3 linked regions of the Arabidopsis thaliana genome follow. The protein of the gene in region 3 binds, or shares a complex with, the protein of the main gene of each other region. Each region holds a gene or a part of one and is shown on either strand. Other genes may lie near its edges. A codon is read from its position in the direction of its gene.

Region 1 (4,496 bases), on a different chromosome or scaffold from region 3:
CTATATACATGACTTTGTTACTAACTGATTAACACTAACAGCTAAACTCAGCTAACAAAAGTTGAGTTTCTTGCTCATTCTTTGGATCAGCTAGTGGCGTCTCAACGTTGTTAGAGCATGTATCTAAATCTGTAACTTCATTTGATGCCCCTTTAGCCTCAATAGCTGAAGCATTCTCCTCTATATTCTTCTGAGGATCTGTATGCGTGGTTTCAGGAGTTCCTAGAAGAACAATGAAAGAAAAGAGACATCAATTTCTAAGGCTACCAATTCTGACTTTATAATTTCAATACAAGCTAATATCATGCATTTATACTATCTTACAATTTACCAAGCCACAGAAGACAGTATTATTATCTGACTAGTACTGACATTGAATTATACCGTGTGCTAAACATGAATATAAAGAGACTAACCATGATTATCCTCTGAGTTCTCTTTGAGATATGAAAGCATTCTTCTGTAATTTACAGAACCTGGCACTTTAAATAGCTTGCGCCGGCAGCACAGCTGTTTCATGTCACAACAGGGAAAATGTCAAAAACAGATTCTTAAATAAGGAACAAGACTGCAGCTTCTTAAAAAAAAACAGATCATACAGAAATTTTGTTGCCACTGGATGAAGTCATCTTCTTGAAAGGGCTATTGTTTCCATGAGCTTTAACAAAGCTATTGGCAGATACGGTTTCAGGAAGTCGGTAATTTGCTGCCATCAATTCACCTCTTTCATCCTTAGGATCTTTTGCATCACCATCTCGGGTAACATCTGCAGCTTCCATCAAGTAAGGAAGCATTCTTCTATAGCTCACAGAGCCAGGGTTCTTGAAAATCTTTTCCGGATGACGAATCTGTATACATATCACAAGAAGAAAATTAAGCAACCAACGAAAAGCCAATATTGTAGTTTAAACGCATCATTTGCTATAAAACCATGAGTAAAAAACATACCACTTTGCTGCCGAGATTGGTACCAACTTTCTTCCCAGAGACCTCACTGATCTCTTGATTGATAGAACCTGCTTCATTTTTCACCAAAGAAAGCTCACCGGTGAACATTCCTAAATCCGGTGGCGTCGTTTGTGAGCATTCCACTACTTCTAAATCACCTCCAGTAGCCACTAATCCATCAACAAGATATTTGCTTCCTTCTCTCATAACTGTTTTCACCATTGTGTAATCATTATAGTTTCTAAACAGATATTGAAATTTCCTAATTCCACCTTCATTATATCAACATTCTCCTAAATTTTCTTAGAAAAACTTGTACAAGAAAAAGACCTTAAAATAAGAATTACCATTAGAATTCGGAGTATCGCAAGGAGATTCCACATTTAGCTCCTTGGTTAGATTTCCCCCTTTCACATGAAAGTCCCAATCACTAGAGATGGAACTAGGAGAGAATACGCGTCTGAGACACAGATTCTTCACGGTGACACGAGAACAAGTTCGGGGCATTTGAGTAACAATTTTCCCTTTGATCGGTGACGCATGATGGTGACGAAGATCCGTGACAATGTGAGACAATGGGGATGCAAATCGAACGGAGGAACGATTGCTCTGAGTTCGTAATTTGCTTGCCATAAGGTTCTGAGAGGTAGTATAACGAACTGAAGAAGACGAAAATCGCATCTTCTTCCTCAATATAGGATCTGATTCGGCCATGGTAGAACTCGCGCCAAGAGAGAGCTACAGAGAGAGAGAGAGAGTGTGTGTGAGAGTGAGAGAGACTGTTTGTTATTTTGGCGGGAACAGACCGGGTGGCTTTATGATGTTTGGCGGGAAACTAAGGCTTAGTGGGCTTGGCCCATTTATCCTCTTGTGTTTGGTCAATTTTTTGGTCGGTTTAAGTAAACCGTATTGAAAAGATTATTAAAACCTGTAAATCTCACAGAATTTATTTTTCTTTTCCCTGGAGTGGTTTTGGGAGTAGAATTGTCATCTTCGCAAAAGCTTCGAGAGTAGTGCAATCGAAACAAGTCATGGATCTTTCGCCTGTTAAGGAAGCTTTGGCCGCCAAATCCTTTGACAAAATCGCCGATATCTGCGATACTCTCATGCTTCAGGTTCGTAATTTCTCTCGCTGTCGTTGTTTCTGATGTTCATTAGGGTTTTGTGAAGTGGATTTTGTGGTGTTAATCGTTCGATTTATCGCTTCTTAATTTTTTTTATAGGTTGCTTCCGAAGGAATTGAATATCATGATGATTGGCCTTACGCAATCCATCTTCTGGGTTACTTTTACGTTGACGATTGGTGAGTTTATTTTCTTCTTTGATGTATTTGTTTGCGTTGTGAACCTAAAGTTAGTTCCTTTATGAAATTAGAGATTGTTTCGTTGAACTCTTGTGAATTTTAGCGCGTCAAAGTTGTTCTTACTACTTCGATTGCTAGGTCCTAGGTTGAATCTAAGGTCTAAAGTCTGCTTTTTACATTACCTTGTTTCTATCCAGTGATTTGAAAAATTAAAACTTGACACAAGTTAGTAGTTGTTGAGACCCATTTAACATTTTTTTCCTTTGTGTATTGATAGTGAGTGTAGTATGTTGAAACTATTGAGTTATGGTTGTGCCTTCTTGACTATGGATTTGGTTTTGATGTTTTGCTGTGCTTGTTTGGAAATACTGCAGTGATAGCGCACGTTTCCTCTGGAAAAGGATACCTACAGCTATCAAGGAGAGGAAGCCTGAAGTTGTTGCAGCTTGGGGGATTGGTCAGAAGCTGTGGACACACGACTATGCAGGTGTATATGAAGCTATTCGGGGTTATGATTGGAGTCAAGAAGCTAAAGATATGGTTGCTGCCTTCTCAGGTAAATTTTTTCTCTGTTTATGACTTCTTAGCTAGTATGAATTGGTTTCTTGAACTAAGCTTGTTGATTGCTTATGTAGTTGTGTACTTTTATTACTTCATATCCCTCTTTAGGTTTTGAGCTTTGATATACATATTGAGATCGAATAGTTGTTTTATTGTTTTAACTTGTGAGGCCTAGTTTAGGATTTCTGTTATGCACAGAACCACCTTTCATCTTATCATTGAACTATTGGAACTCGAATTTGAATCAAATTTCATCAATGTATGTGCCTTATCACTTCTTCATTAGAAAGTAGTTGCTTCTGTGGTCTAACTGAGAGAGAGGTAGGTAGACTCACACAGGAGGAACGAGTAAGCAGTTGACAGACTTTTCCAACCAAATGTCTAAACGTTGATCTGAATTTTGTGAAGTTGTACCTTTTTCCACATCAATTGTTCAACACCTGACCTTTATGGGTCACTTTCCATCAGATTCTAATTCTATTTCTGAATTGGTTTTGTTGTAGATCTTTACACAAAAAGGATGTTTCAGCTTTTGTTGTCTGCCTACTCCACAATTACCATCCATGATTTAGCTCTTTTCCTAGGGATGACGGAGGATGATGCCACAACTTGTAAGCTTCTTTCTGCAATTTCCTTTGCTTACAAAAGATTAAGTACCTCATTTCACATTTCTATTGAATTCTACTGAATTGATTCTTATATTGATACTTTTGAAAAATGTCGAAGAGTTTGTGGCAATGTCTTAGCTTAGTGTTATTGTAGGCATGAATCTTATGACAACCATATATGTTACGGAATCAGAATTAACAGTATAATTGTTTTCTTTATTGCTGGATATATACACAGATGTTGTAGAGAATGGATGGACAGTGGATGCAGCTTCTCAAATGGCGAGTGTGAAGAAACAAGCTGTTAAAAGAGAGCAAAAGGTGGATTCATCGAAGCTACAACGCTTGACGGAGTATGTGTTCCACCTTGAACATTAAAACTAAGTGCCGATCTCCTATTAAGATAGTGAAATTCTAAGAACAGAATTCGTTTTTGAGAGATTTCACAATGACTGATTCTAAGTTGCAACATATCTTGACTCTTTGAGTATATGATGAATAACTCCTACCAATTTTACTCTTATAAGATCAGTTTACACCAACAGGCGAACTAAAACAAACATTTAAAAGATCAGTTTACACAAAAGACGAACTGAAACAAACAAAAGATGAAGTCAATATTATGAGCCAAAAAGGACACAGCCTAAATAACACACGTTTTCAGAACAAAATTAGGCAGAAACAAGAGAAGATCATTTTAGCGACTATAACAAGCTAGCCAATCTCTGAGATAAAAGATGATAATCTTCAAACCGGAGAGGTACTCTAGAAGAATAGGAGCCATTTGTCGATCTAGTAGATGACAAGCTGGGGTTATCAGAGATTAATAATTCTTAATTTATTATTAAATTATCGATAAATGAACAATTTTAAATTTATTGAGAGATTTTACTATTCTTTTATAATTTTTAAAACTGGTTTATGTGAAAAGCAGTTTTTGTAGTTATAATCAACATCCTTTTAAAAATAATGAAAAATATAAAAAGTAAATAATTATTAAGTCTAGAAAACAAAAAGAAAAAAAAATTGATACTGTAGAAATATTAGAAATAAACTCTTCAAAAGATTAATACAAA
Region 2 (5,060 bases), on a different chromosome or scaffold from region 3:
ATTTAATAAAATCAGTTTTCTATGTTTTCAGGAGCTACTATAAATGCACAGCTAATGGATGTACCGTAACGAAGCATGTAGAGAGAGCCTCTGATGACTTCAAGAGCGTACTAACAACTTATATAGGCAAGCACACCCACGTTGTACCAGCAGCACGCAACAGCAGCCACGTCGGTGCAGGCAGTTCAGGGACTCTCCAAGGCAGTTTAGCGACTCAGACCCACAACCACAATGTGCACTATCCAATGCCACACAGTAGATCTGAGGGACTGGCCACAGCCAACTCATCTCTATTTGACTTCCAGTCACACCTGAGGCATCCTACAGGTTTCTCCGTTTACATAGGCCAATCTGAGCTTTCTGATCTTTCAATGCCTGGTCTAACTATTGGGCAAGAGAAGCTTACCAGCCTGCAGGCGCCTGACATTGGGGATCCAACTGGCCTAATGTTGCAGTTAGCAGCACAGCCGAAGGTGGAACCAGTGTCACCACAACAGGGACTTGATTTGTCAGCGAGCTCATTGATATGCAGAGAGATGTTGAGTAGATTACGACAGATATGAAACAAATCTCTTTGTTCACTGATTGCTCAAATTTTTGAATAAATGAAAAATTGAGAGAAGGTAAAAGCTGTTTTGTTTTTACAGTCTTGTCGCAAAATTTAGTTAGGCCTAAACTTAGCTTCTGTCTAGACAAAGCTTAAACAGAAGAAAAGCTTCCTAGCTGTTTGTTTGGTTCCGAAAAGTGAAATGCCTTAAAAGAGTTCTAAATTTTCACTTAGGGACCAGACCACCAAAAGAAAGAAAAGGTTTTTTTACATTGAAACTAATCTTTACATGAACGCAGTCCTACCACCTCTTCGGCTGTGTTTGTCGTATGCAGTGTTGAATTTGTCAACCACCTCGTTCATGTTGCTGCATTTTGGGGGGAAAAAGGAGAGTAAGAGATCAAATATACAAAGGATTCTTTCAGGACATTTCGTTGGAATGAAATTGACATATGGATTGGTCAAGGTGTAGCACAAGATTAGATTTTTTTTTTAAAAAGAAGCTTATATTCCCTTAGCTACTACAGGCTCAGTATCTTAATTATAACAAGGATAATTGAGCAAGGTCCTAGATTTAGTTCTTAATCTAAATAAAACAAACTATCTCAATGTCAGCCTCAACCAAGTACTGGTGATTTCATCTGTCTTGGTATCGTAAAACATTGCATTGTATCAAGCAAAAGATTTGCATGCATGTCCATCATTCTTTTATTCAAATAGTTAAATGGAATAGCGTGTCGAGCACATACCTGGTACAATTCGTGATCATTGCTAGGTAAGACATCAGCAATTTGTCGTTGTACTCCTGCAAAAGAAGAGAACATCATATTTATAAAGATATCATTCACAACAACAAGCTACATTAAGAATTTAAGAGATTCGAAGGCCACTTTATTTAACCAACATTGCTAGAAAAAGGTAAGGTACTACTTACCATCAAGAAATTTTCATTGAACTTCTCTGATTCTGCGGCAGGCAAACTTCTGAGCAGACTAGATACTTGTCTCAGAACTGAGTTCTCACAAGGTTTATCACCTAGATGCAGAATCACATAAGTCATTAGTACCACATTACTCTTGCTCAAAATCATCTTCTAACACCCTTTTAATTCTTTCTTCCCCGTAGGAAAACACATAGAAATATTCTAAGATCAAGGGACAGGTCACAAAAGCTTGATTAACAAATTGAAGAGGGACCGAGAGTGGGGACTTGAGCAAGAATATACCTTTCTGCATAGCGACAATATGCTGGTATAGCACTCTGATTCTGCTATTAAGCATCTTGATGGCACTATGTATTCCAGTAAGATGAGCAGCCACTGCACAAAATCGAGGAATCAACCTAAAATTCCATGCAGATGAAAAAGAAAGAACAGATTATGATAAATATGAAGTGATAATAAAGCTTACACTGAGTCGCAGCTGAGCCTCCATCAGATGGCTTAAGATGTGCAACATGATCAACAGATATTCTTTCAGCTTCAACTGTCTGCACGCGTTTACAATCATTGCAATGTTATTGAAAGTCCACTCTCATATCACATAGATAGATTACAGATCAAGTGGCCTAAACACATACCTCAATTGTGTAGCTGGTATGCACGAAAATCGACTGAGGAATTCCATCAATGACATGAAATTCTTCAAATTTTGAAAACAATCAAAAAGACAGGATTAGCAAGATTATAATCTATAAAACAATAAGACAATCAGTGATGCAAATAACCAATTTTTACCGCTTTCGTAGATAGTCACAGGAAGATCCTTCTGTGCATGATTGATAGCAGGATTTAAAAGAACATACACAGGAGATTCATTAATGTCCATCAGCTGTAGATGAAAACCTCAACAAATCAGTACAATGAGAATCCTAAATTCAATTAAATTTATATTAAACATTAAAGCTACACTACTCACAGCTTTGTGGATATGCATATCAGATTCGGTAGCGTCACTTCCCGTAGAATACCATCCCAATACGTAGAAGTCAGGGAACACCTTCTTATCTAAAAAATAACAAAACTCACAAATTAGCAAGAGTATCAAACAATCGACAACAAAAGTGAGCGAGTGTAAGTAAACTTACAGAGTTCTTGCTTCTTCTCGAGGAAGGATCTGTCGAGAGTATCAAGAGCAGGATCGAATATCAGCTCGAAACTGTTGAAGATCTCAACCGTACGACCTCTCTGGAGACCGATGACGCAGCCATAAACCCTAGGGTTTTGCAGTAACATCGCGTCGGCGTTGTTGGAGCCATTCCCGGTGGCGCAAGAAGCGGCGGGAGGATTAAGCTGAGTTTTAACCCTAGTGAAGTGATCGGATATGTTAAGCATCACCAGAGGATGTAGCTTGAACGTGAGACCGCTCGACGAAGAAGGCGCCATTGTTGTCGCTCTCGATTTTTTCCCGGCGCTTGTCGTTGTCCTCCTTTAGTCCCAAATTCTGAAATCGGATCTTAAACTCGGGTCATGAATCTTTATATAGTCTTGGCCTCTTGGGCTTTCCTTCTAAGTTTAGCCCATATATAACTTTCTTTTGTTAGAAAAATAATGGAAAAGATTATAGCATGTACTTAATTTTTTAGCGTTTTAGTATATATTTATAATTTGAATATAAATCTTTGAAAGAAATATCTATTTTTTTAATATGAAATTTCTTGTATTTTAATGAATTTGAAAAATAATTATGATTGGATTTTGAATCATTTACTTCTTTTTTTTTGGTTTGAGTATATAGAAATAACATAAAGATCATAATGAATTAATTTTATTTAATATTATTGGATATGTTTGTAAGTGTTACTATTAAAATTTTATTATGTGTGTAGTCTGTTTTAATTCTTCTTTTCGTAATATATATATATATATATATATATATTGATATTTTAAACTATTTTTAGTTTATATAACATATCTTTAAATATGTTTCCTATGTTGTAAGTAGTACCTATCAATATTTTACAGAATATTACAGTTTTGTATTCTGAATGCAATCTTTTAAATTAAATTTCATTTAAATTTCATAAAAATAGTTAAGGCTACATTTAAATCTGTATTATTGTTATTTCATTAATTAAAAATATAACTGTATATAGTTTATGAGAAATCCCACATTAAAAGTGGAAATAGAATATGAGTAATATACAGTATATAAACCAAATCTACTCATAAACAATTAGTTTTGAGTTTGGAACCATAAAACTTAATATAGTAAATTGATAAATATGTTATTTTAGATTCTATATATACCATATATAACTCCTAGTCTCCTATGATATATCTGTCATTACATCGTAAATTGCTTATCACTAGCCAGTAGCCACCAGCCGCAGCCTCTGCACCCTTACTCATATCATTAACACATTGCTGGCTTGCAAGGTACAATCTTTAGTTATGTCATTCAAGTCTTCATATTACGGTAGATTTTTCCAACCGTATTGTTCAAACAATTGTATCCGACAATATAATCATGCATGGGATCTCGTCAAACTCTAACGACATGCTTTTTGACTTATGATAACTTTTTTTCTTTTCTTCAGTCAATCTTATCAAGTCATCGTCTACGCTTTTTTCCACCATCGCCTTCACTTTGAAGAAGCGTGAGTGTAGGTAGTGCTATATACTTGTGGGAAATTTGGGAATATGCTCATTTACATTTTTACATGTATAGACATAAATCTTTAGGTTGGATATGTGACATATTATTTATGATTCTTTTTTCAATTTATATAAACTAGTAGACCACGATTTAGTTTTCTCACTGATTAGCAAATGATGGATTTGGTCCGTATTGAAAATAAAAGACATATATATATATATATGTGTGTTCCGTTTTCCTGAAATCAACTGCAAAAAGTTTTCAACAAACGATTAAGAAAAATGAAAGTGACACATTAACACGTTAGATAATGCATTAACAAAATATTCTTTCTTTTCTTTTTTCTTCATTCTTTTTACCTTCGTTTATAGGAGGGAAGAAAATGAACCAGAATTTTGTTGATATTGAAAAACCAATCCGAATAAAGAATCTACGAAATGACACTATACTAAACTCGTTCTATGGTAGAATGTCTTTGCACCCGATAGCAAAAGTTATTGTAGAAAACTATTTTATACCTAAACAATTCACAAACCTCGGAGAAATGATATTGTTGTATATTTAGAAATGTATATCAAAAGAAGAAAATAGTCTTTAGTGGACACTGACAGACAACGACTAGTTTTATATGTAACCATCAGTTCATCTTTCTAGATAAAACCAATGTTAAACGCAACTGCTAATCTCTTCTTCTTTTCTTTTGTCAACCACCAAGGCACCAACTGCTAATCTCTTTAGACTCTAGAGATAGCGAAATATCTTCATTATTTCATAATATACATAACAATTTTATTAATCCTTAATTCAAAATTGCTTGGAAAACACTGATGAAATTAAGCATCTACTAACAGAAAGTTTTGTAAATTTTCAAAAACTTTCTCCTAACGTTCCTCTCGGAAATTGGGGTTATCTATTCT
Region 3 (5,075 bases):
TCTCGTCTTCCTTTGGTGAACCGCTCGCGACTAAAGTATCTGAGCTCGAAACGCACAAGCTTCTTAGATGAACCGATCGCGATGAAGAGATCAATTTATTGTTCCTCCACCGAGGAAGTGAAGAAACCCTAGAAAGTGGGAAAGAACGAATTGGAAGAGAGACGCATTTCGTATGGAAACATGTGATAACCCCTTCCATCGGAATTATCAATTCCAAAATTCCGATTATGTCGAAACGTAAAGATTCTCCGGCGACGATTCTGAGGATTTTGCTCCGTTCTTCTTTTGCGTTTTCTCAGATTATTTTTTTCATTGAGGATAAGAGAGGGAAATGGAGAAATCAGGTTGAAAACGAAATGGGGAAGATGCGACATAAAAAATGAGTAAAGAAATAAAAATCTACGTGGCGCTTAGCGAGAATGGGCCTGAAACTAGCCCACCACAACAAGGAGTCTATCAGATTCCCCAAACGACACGCAGTTAAAAACGAGTTTGATACGACGCCGTTGAGACTTCTCTAACCCTTGCAAATGATAAAACGCTCGCGTAAGTTAGCACGAGAGATACACGCGCAAGGGGAAAATTTTTTAAGTAAAAGGGAAATAAAAGATTTGAGGGTCCATAATGGTCTTCTCTACTTGTTGGCAATTGTGACAAAAATATGAAACTTTTTAAACCAACAAAAATGAACAAAGAAATCAAAAGTAACATTCTCAAGATTCACACTACGGTTGTCTTTGAGCCAAGTTTTGTTGGTGCTTCTCGACTTTCGCTGTTTACATGGAGAACTTCTGAGGAACAGTATCGAAATCGTCTCCAAAGTCGTACCTTTGTCTTTCCCTTCCTACCTGAAAAAAAGTAGTCAAACGGCTTAGTCAGAGAAACATGGGTTTCCAGGACAGAAGACTAATGGAATATGGTATTAAATTACCTTTCCCAAGTATAAAGGGTCACATGATAAGCTCTCATCCATGGCTAAGAGATTCTTCGACAGACCAATAGTCCTGAAATTTTTATCAAAACACATAACTTGTTTGATGCTACTACTTTCCTTTGGCAAAACAGTCATCTCCATATCAACTTGATTCCAAGTGCTAATTATGCACTCCTTATTACGAGTTTCAACATTCAAGCAATGTTTCCCAAAAAAAAACCATATCAAAACACTTAGTTCTGTAGACATACCTTTGTATAACAGAATCCATGATCTCAATCATCTCACTAGATTTGTACTGCTCAGGGTCCTCCAAGAATCTGACCATCCCGTCTTTCTGGTTGATAAGGGCATGTATCTGACCATCCTGGATCTGCAGGTTTGTAAAGAAAAAAATGATATTGTCCAACATACCAGTTAAACTAATAAAGCTAGCTTCCAAAAATCAAGTGTGGGACACAATACCATCTGAAGCACATGCATTTCCGCCTCCTTAGCATTACCAAGTTGGACCATGTTGGCTATATCTTGAAGCGACAGGGTCAAGTACTTCTGTGTCAATCTCAGAATGTTACGCTTGTAAAGGGATGACACTGCTTGCTTAACTAATCCAAGGTTCTTATCCTGAAAGAGCATTTCGCCCAAGTTATGGAAGGGGATGAATATTTAATATTGGTACAGAAACTATGGTAAATGTTTAGAGGCAATTTACCTCTTCAAATTCTGCATTCCTGGCCACAACCAATGCCTCTAGTTCACCAATCTTCCCGTCGTTGTAACAATTACCCAGTTCAATGTAAGGCTGAGAAAAGGGTGAACGATAAAATCATAAGCCTGAAAATAGATTTAGCTGGTATGGAGTACAAAACAACTGAAATCTTTGGACTGAAGTGAAAAAGGGACCAGACTCCATTCAAACATGAAAAATACAACTAATGATCGGGTTCAAACTTACTCCGGTATAGTTCTTGAAGCTCCTCTGTGCTGCTGTAGAAGCACACTTGGGGAGAGTGTTAGTAAACTGCACAAGTAAAATCAAACAAGATTATAAGAAAAACATCATAAGATTAACCAATGCTTGAAATTAAAATCAGACACAGGATGTAATTGTGAAACCAACATTTCTCAAAAACATACAGTTGATTCAGACTCGTGCAATATGCTCCCATGACCGAAAACTAGATAAACAAAGAAAGTAAAATATAAAGAACACAGCCTTACCTGCCCATTGTGAATGAGAGACACCAATATGTACTTTTTGTACGCCTCAAGAGCTATGGCATTGACTTGATGCATAGGAGCAGTCACAACCTGATACAAGTACTTAGGTTGAGTTAAAACTAAAACGAAAGTCCTTAATGTATAAAAAGCACGTAAGAAAAAATAAAAATGCCTTACATTGTAAAGAAGCTCTAATGCTTTCTGAAATCTCTTCAGTCCAATACAAATCATTCCCCTATCAAAAGTCCAGGTAATCAAGGACCAGAATAAGAAAATACTATAAAACAAACCCAACAGGGATGGATTTAATGTGTTTACACATCTATTGATCAAAGGAAAAAAACAGATAGCAATGAGGAAAAATTGCTTACCCATAATAGCTATAGAGAAAAAAGTCTCTTGGCTGGTCAATCTCCACGATATCATCACTAAGAATGGAGAAACCAGATTTGTACGATTTCGCCTGCAAACAGAGTTGAAGAACATCTGGATGCAATGCAGTCAAACGCTTGGAGGAGACCTGAAGCTTCTGAACAGCGTTTAACAGTGGCCCTACTCCTCGCAACGGATCTCCCAGTGCTATAACATGGTCTTTCAATATCTTACAAAGAGATACAACTGCAAAATCAATATAATAACATCATCCATCTCCCCAAAGAAAAAAGAAAAGAAAACACATTAAGACAAGATAAGCTCTCATTAAGTGTCAGTAAATTACATTTATAGCTCGCCAAACGAATCTGCCCAGCATCACAAGAATTGATGAACCGTGCAATTATCGGTATCTCATAAGCAGCTTTCTCCTTCGACACTGGACCACAGGTAAGAACCTCACTGTAACAATCAAACCATACAAAAAACTCAAAGATCAGAAATCGAATAACATAGACAATTCTCCTTGTTAAACTTCGACCTAATCACACACATCAAGTTCCAATAACCAAAATCATCAATCAGCCTCAAAGTATACACAAACTAGTAACAAAAACCTAATCTACCAATAGGTTAAAACTCACAGGAAATACAGGTAACCGAGAGAGTGCTTCGAGGCGTCGAGCTGGTCAAGAGTAGAGAAATTAACACCTGGTTCGGCTCGGAGCGAGTCTTGAGCTCCTCTCAAAAGATCGTGAAGTGCAGATAAATCCTCTGGACTCCCCGATAAACCTTGGATTGACGTTATCACAGCCTCCACCGAGTTCACAGCTCCGATCATCTTCGATACTAAGACGAAAACACAAAAACCCTAATCGATCGCCCTTTTTCTCCCTCTCAAAATCTTTTGCTAAACTGTTTGTTTAATTATCTCTGGATCTTCTCCATAAAAATACATGCTCTCATAATATATATACGAACCCTCCGAACGGTTAAGAGTCTAATACATTACTCTAGAATAATAAACCAATATCTAACCGGCTTTTAAACCAAATATTCCCGGTTCGAAATGTACCAGATGGTAATTGTCGGTTTAGCCAGACCAATTTCGGGGATGGCCTTTTATCATTCGTCTTTCCAGAGAAAGAACGAGATTGCGATCACAGAGTGTCAAAGCAATCTGCTTTTTCTCCTCTCAGATTCAAAGGTTCTCTTTGAAGCTTCGTAGGTGGTTATACTTTGATGGCGGATTATCATTTCGTGTATAAGGACATTGAAGGAGCGTCAACTCAATGGGATGATATCCAGCGGAAATTGGGGAATCTACCGGAGAAGGCTCCGGCTTTCAAACCTCCGGCGTATACTCCGGCGGAAGACGAGTCTTCAGCTCCTAAGGATCAGGCATGGTTTGATAAGAAGACAGAGGAGGAGCTTGAGGATCTTGAGGACGACAAAGATCTCGACGATGATCGCTTTCTCGAAGAATACAGGTTCGTAGATCGAATCGAACATTCTGATTTTTGTATTTACAATCTTAACTTTCCCTGGAGAATCCTTGCCTTGGTGGATTGTGAATTCAATTTTCTCGGATCTGTTGCCATGTAGCTAGGGAATGCAATTATCAAGCTCTGGTTTTTCTCGATTCGTTTGTGTTTTGGATATGAATGCAATTGAGGGTAGTATCTTATTTGAGATGTTGATGAATAGGCTAAACATAATTGTGCAACACACTTCATGATTCACAGGCACTAATGTGTTTTGATGCTTTCATAGGAAGAAGAGGTTGTCTGAGCTAAGAGAGGCTGCTAAAGTTAAAAGATATGGAACAGTGACTCCCATCTCGGGCTCTGATTTCGTGAGGGAGGTTACGCAAGCTTCTGCTGAAGATTGGGTTGTTGTATGTCTCTATAAAGATGGGTATGTTTTTTCAAGTATTCGTGAACTCTTGTTGAGCCATTCTTTACTACATGCTTGAAACACTATTAACTCATGTTTATTTCTTGTTGTTCTCTGATAGTGTTGCAGAATGTAGTTTGCTATTGGGTTGTCTAGACGAATTGGGTAGTAGATACCCAGCAACAAAGTTCGTTAAGATAATATCTACTGATTGTATTCCGAACTACCCTGATTGCAATCTTCCTACCTTGCTGGTGTACCACCATGGCGCCATCAAAGGAACTCATGTAGGCTTAAAGAGCTTTGGCCGTAGGTGCACCCCAGAGAGTAAGTTTGAATGAACCCTTGTTTGTCTGATGTAATCTGTGCTTATTTGTGTTTGATGATTATGTCATGTCTCATCTCTAGCCTTTGTCTGATCTGAGACCTGATGTGACCACATTGGCGATTGTATCATGCTTTGAGCAGATTGGTCTTAGGCACATGTCTAACATACTTGCAACTGATTTGGTTTTTCAGGTGTAGCCTTACTTCTGTGTCAATCAGAGCCAGTTCTTAACGATGGCAAAGGAGGAGACGATGACTCCTCGAGGGAAGCTGTGATGGCTGGAGTTCGAAGACAGTTCATAGAACGAGTGGTGAAGGACCACGA

Evidence for each region.
Region 1: the proteins of COP13 (region 3) and COP9 are in contact, whole or in part, in a cryo-EM structure (PDB 9IS6), measured with the Arabidopsis thaliana proteins. Residues at the interface, in NP_568296.1 of Arabidopsis thaliana: Asp121 (codon at 2,726), Leu123 (codon at 2,720), Arg124 (codon at 2,717), Pro128 (codon at 2,705), Ala157 (codon at 2,618), Lys158 (codon at 2,615), Gly193 (codon at 2,374), Leu194 (codon at 2,371), Lys195 (codon at 2,368), Lys332 (codon at 1,429), Glu335 (codon at 1,420), Met336 (codon at 1,417), Leu339 (codon at 1,408), Gln340 (codon at 1,405), Ile342 (codon at 1,307), Gln343 (codon at 1,304), Ala349 (codon at 1,286), Leu350 (codon at 1,283), Ile351 (codon at 1,280), Asn352 (codon at 1,277), Gln353 (codon at 1,274), Lys354 (codon at 1,271), Asp377 (codon at 1,202), Ile380 (codon at 1,193), Gln381 (codon at 1,190), Ile384 (codon at 1,000), Lys388 (codon at 988); in NP_193147.1 of Arabidopsis thaliana: Met26 (codon at 2,055), Leu27 (codon at 2,058), Ala30 (codon at 2,175), Ser31 (codon at 2,178), Gly33 (codon at 2,184), Ile34 (codon at 2,187), Glu35 (codon at 2,190), Tyr36 (codon at 2,193), Asp56 (codon at 2,627), Phe60 (codon at 2,639), Arg64 (codon at 2,651), His89 (codon at 2,726), Tyr91 (codon at 2,732), Leu125 (codon at 3,342), Ser128 (codon at 3,351), Ala129 (codon at 3,354), Tyr130 (codon at 3,357), Ser131 (codon at 3,360), Thr132 (codon at 3,363), Ile133 (codon at 3,366), Thr134 (codon at 3,369), Asp137 (codon at 3,378), Phe141 (codon at 3,390), Met166 (codon at 3,700), Arg187 (codon at 3,763), Glu190 (codon at 3,772), Tyr191 (codon at 3,775), His194 (codon at 3,784).
Region 2: the proteins of COP13 (region 3) and CSN6B are in contact, whole or in part, in a cryo-EM structure (PDB 9IS6), measured with the Arabidopsis thaliana proteins. Residues at the interface, in NP_568296.1 of Arabidopsis thaliana: Tyr367 (codon at 1,232), Lys368 (codon at 1,229), Ser369 (codon at 1,226), Met372 (codon at 1,217), Ile373 (codon at 1,214), Met376 (codon at 1,205), Val379 (codon at 1,196), Ile380 (codon at 1,193), Arg382 (codon at 1,187), Thr383 (codon at 1,003), Ile384 (codon at 1,000), Ser387 (codon at 991), Leu390 (codon at 982), Met393 (codon at 973), Asp394 (codon at 970), Leu397 (codon at 961), Asp400 (codon at 952), Leu402 (codon at 946), Tyr403 (codon at 943), Lys406 (codon at 934); in NP_567746.1 of Arabidopsis thaliana: Glu268 (codon at 1,496), Leu271 (codon at 1,487), Met272 (codon at 1,484), Tyr274 (codon at 1,349), Asn275 (codon at 1,346), Leu278 (codon at 1,337), Ser281 (codon at 1,328), Tyr282 (codon at 1,325), Met285 (codon at 1,316), Cys289 (codon at 1,304), Met293 (codon at 910), Val296 (codon at 901), Lys299 (codon at 892), Phe300 (codon at 889), Thr302 (codon at 883), Ala303 (codon at 880), Tyr304 (codon at 877), Asp305 (codon at 874).

Annotation. Positions count from the first base shown.
Region 1 is NC_003075.7:8,132,351-8,136,846, reverse strand, and holds COP9 (COP9 signalosome, subunit CSN8), read left to right. Parts: upstream 1-1,858; 5' UTR 1,859-1,979; coding exon 1,980-2,063; intron 2,064-2,171; coding exon 2,172-2,251; intron 2,252-2,625; coding exon 2,626-2,807; intron 2,808-3,315; coding exon 3,316-3,423; intron 3,424-3,658; coding exon 3,659-3,798; 3' UTR 3,799-3,967; downstream 3,968-4,496. Other genes in the region: AT4G14120 (uncharacterized protein), read right to left, coding at 35-222, 417-510, 600-848, 949-1,157, 1,296-1,662. UniProt on the Arabidopsis thaliana protein: Component of the COP9 signalosome complex (CSN), a complex involved in various cellular and developmental processes such as photomorphogenesis and auxin and jasmonate responses.
Region 2 is NC_003075.7:13,353,099-13,358,158, reverse strand, and holds CSN6B (COP9 signalosome subunit 6B), read right to left. Parts: upstream 3,168-5,060; 5' UTR 2,931-3,167; coding exon 2,633-2,930; intron 2,553-2,632; coding exon 2,464-2,552; intron 2,377-2,463; coding exon 2,283-2,376; intron 2,188-2,282; coding exon 2,126-2,187; intron 2,036-2,125; coding exon 1,957-2,035; intron 1,866-1,956; coding exon 1,773-1,865; intron 1,583-1,772; coding exon 1,482-1,582; intron 1,353-1,481; coding exon 1,297-1,352; intron 915-1,296; coding exon 833-914; 3' UTR 564-832; downstream 1-563. Other genes in the region: WRKY34 (WRKY DNA-binding protein 34), read left to right, coding at 32-563. UniProt on the Arabidopsis thaliana protein: Component of the COP9 signalosome complex (CSN), a complex involved in various cellular and developmental processes such as photomorphogenesis and auxin and jasmonate responses.
Region 3 is NC_003076.8:4,596,263-4,601,337, reverse strand, and holds COP13 (Proteasome component (PCI) domain protein), read right to left. Parts: upstream 3,471-5,075; 5' UTR 3,369-3,470; coding exon 3,172-3,368; intron 2,990-3,171; coding exon 2,874-2,989; intron 2,774-2,873; coding exon 2,527-2,773; intron 2,391-2,526; coding exon 2,333-2,390; intron 2,246-2,332; coding exon 2,156-2,245; intron 1,956-2,155; coding exon 1,890-1,955; intron 1,737-1,889; coding exon 1,647-1,736; intron 1,559-1,646; coding exon 1,400-1,558; coding exon of another isoform or gene 1,352-1,399; exon of another isoform or gene 1,308-1,351; coding exon 1,186-1,307; intron 1,005-1,185; coding exon 932-1,004; intron 849-931; coding exon 777-848; 3' UTR 503-776; downstream 1-502. Other genes in the region: AT5G14260 (Rubisco methyltransferase family protein), read right to left, coding at 1-199; AT5G14240 (Thioredoxin superfamily protein), read left to right, coding at 3,770-4,017, 4,301-4,444, 4,545-4,750, 4,943-5,075. UniProt on the Arabidopsis thaliana protein: Component of the COP9 signalosome complex (CSN), a complex involved in various cellular and developmental processes such as photomorphogenesis and auxin and jasmonate responses.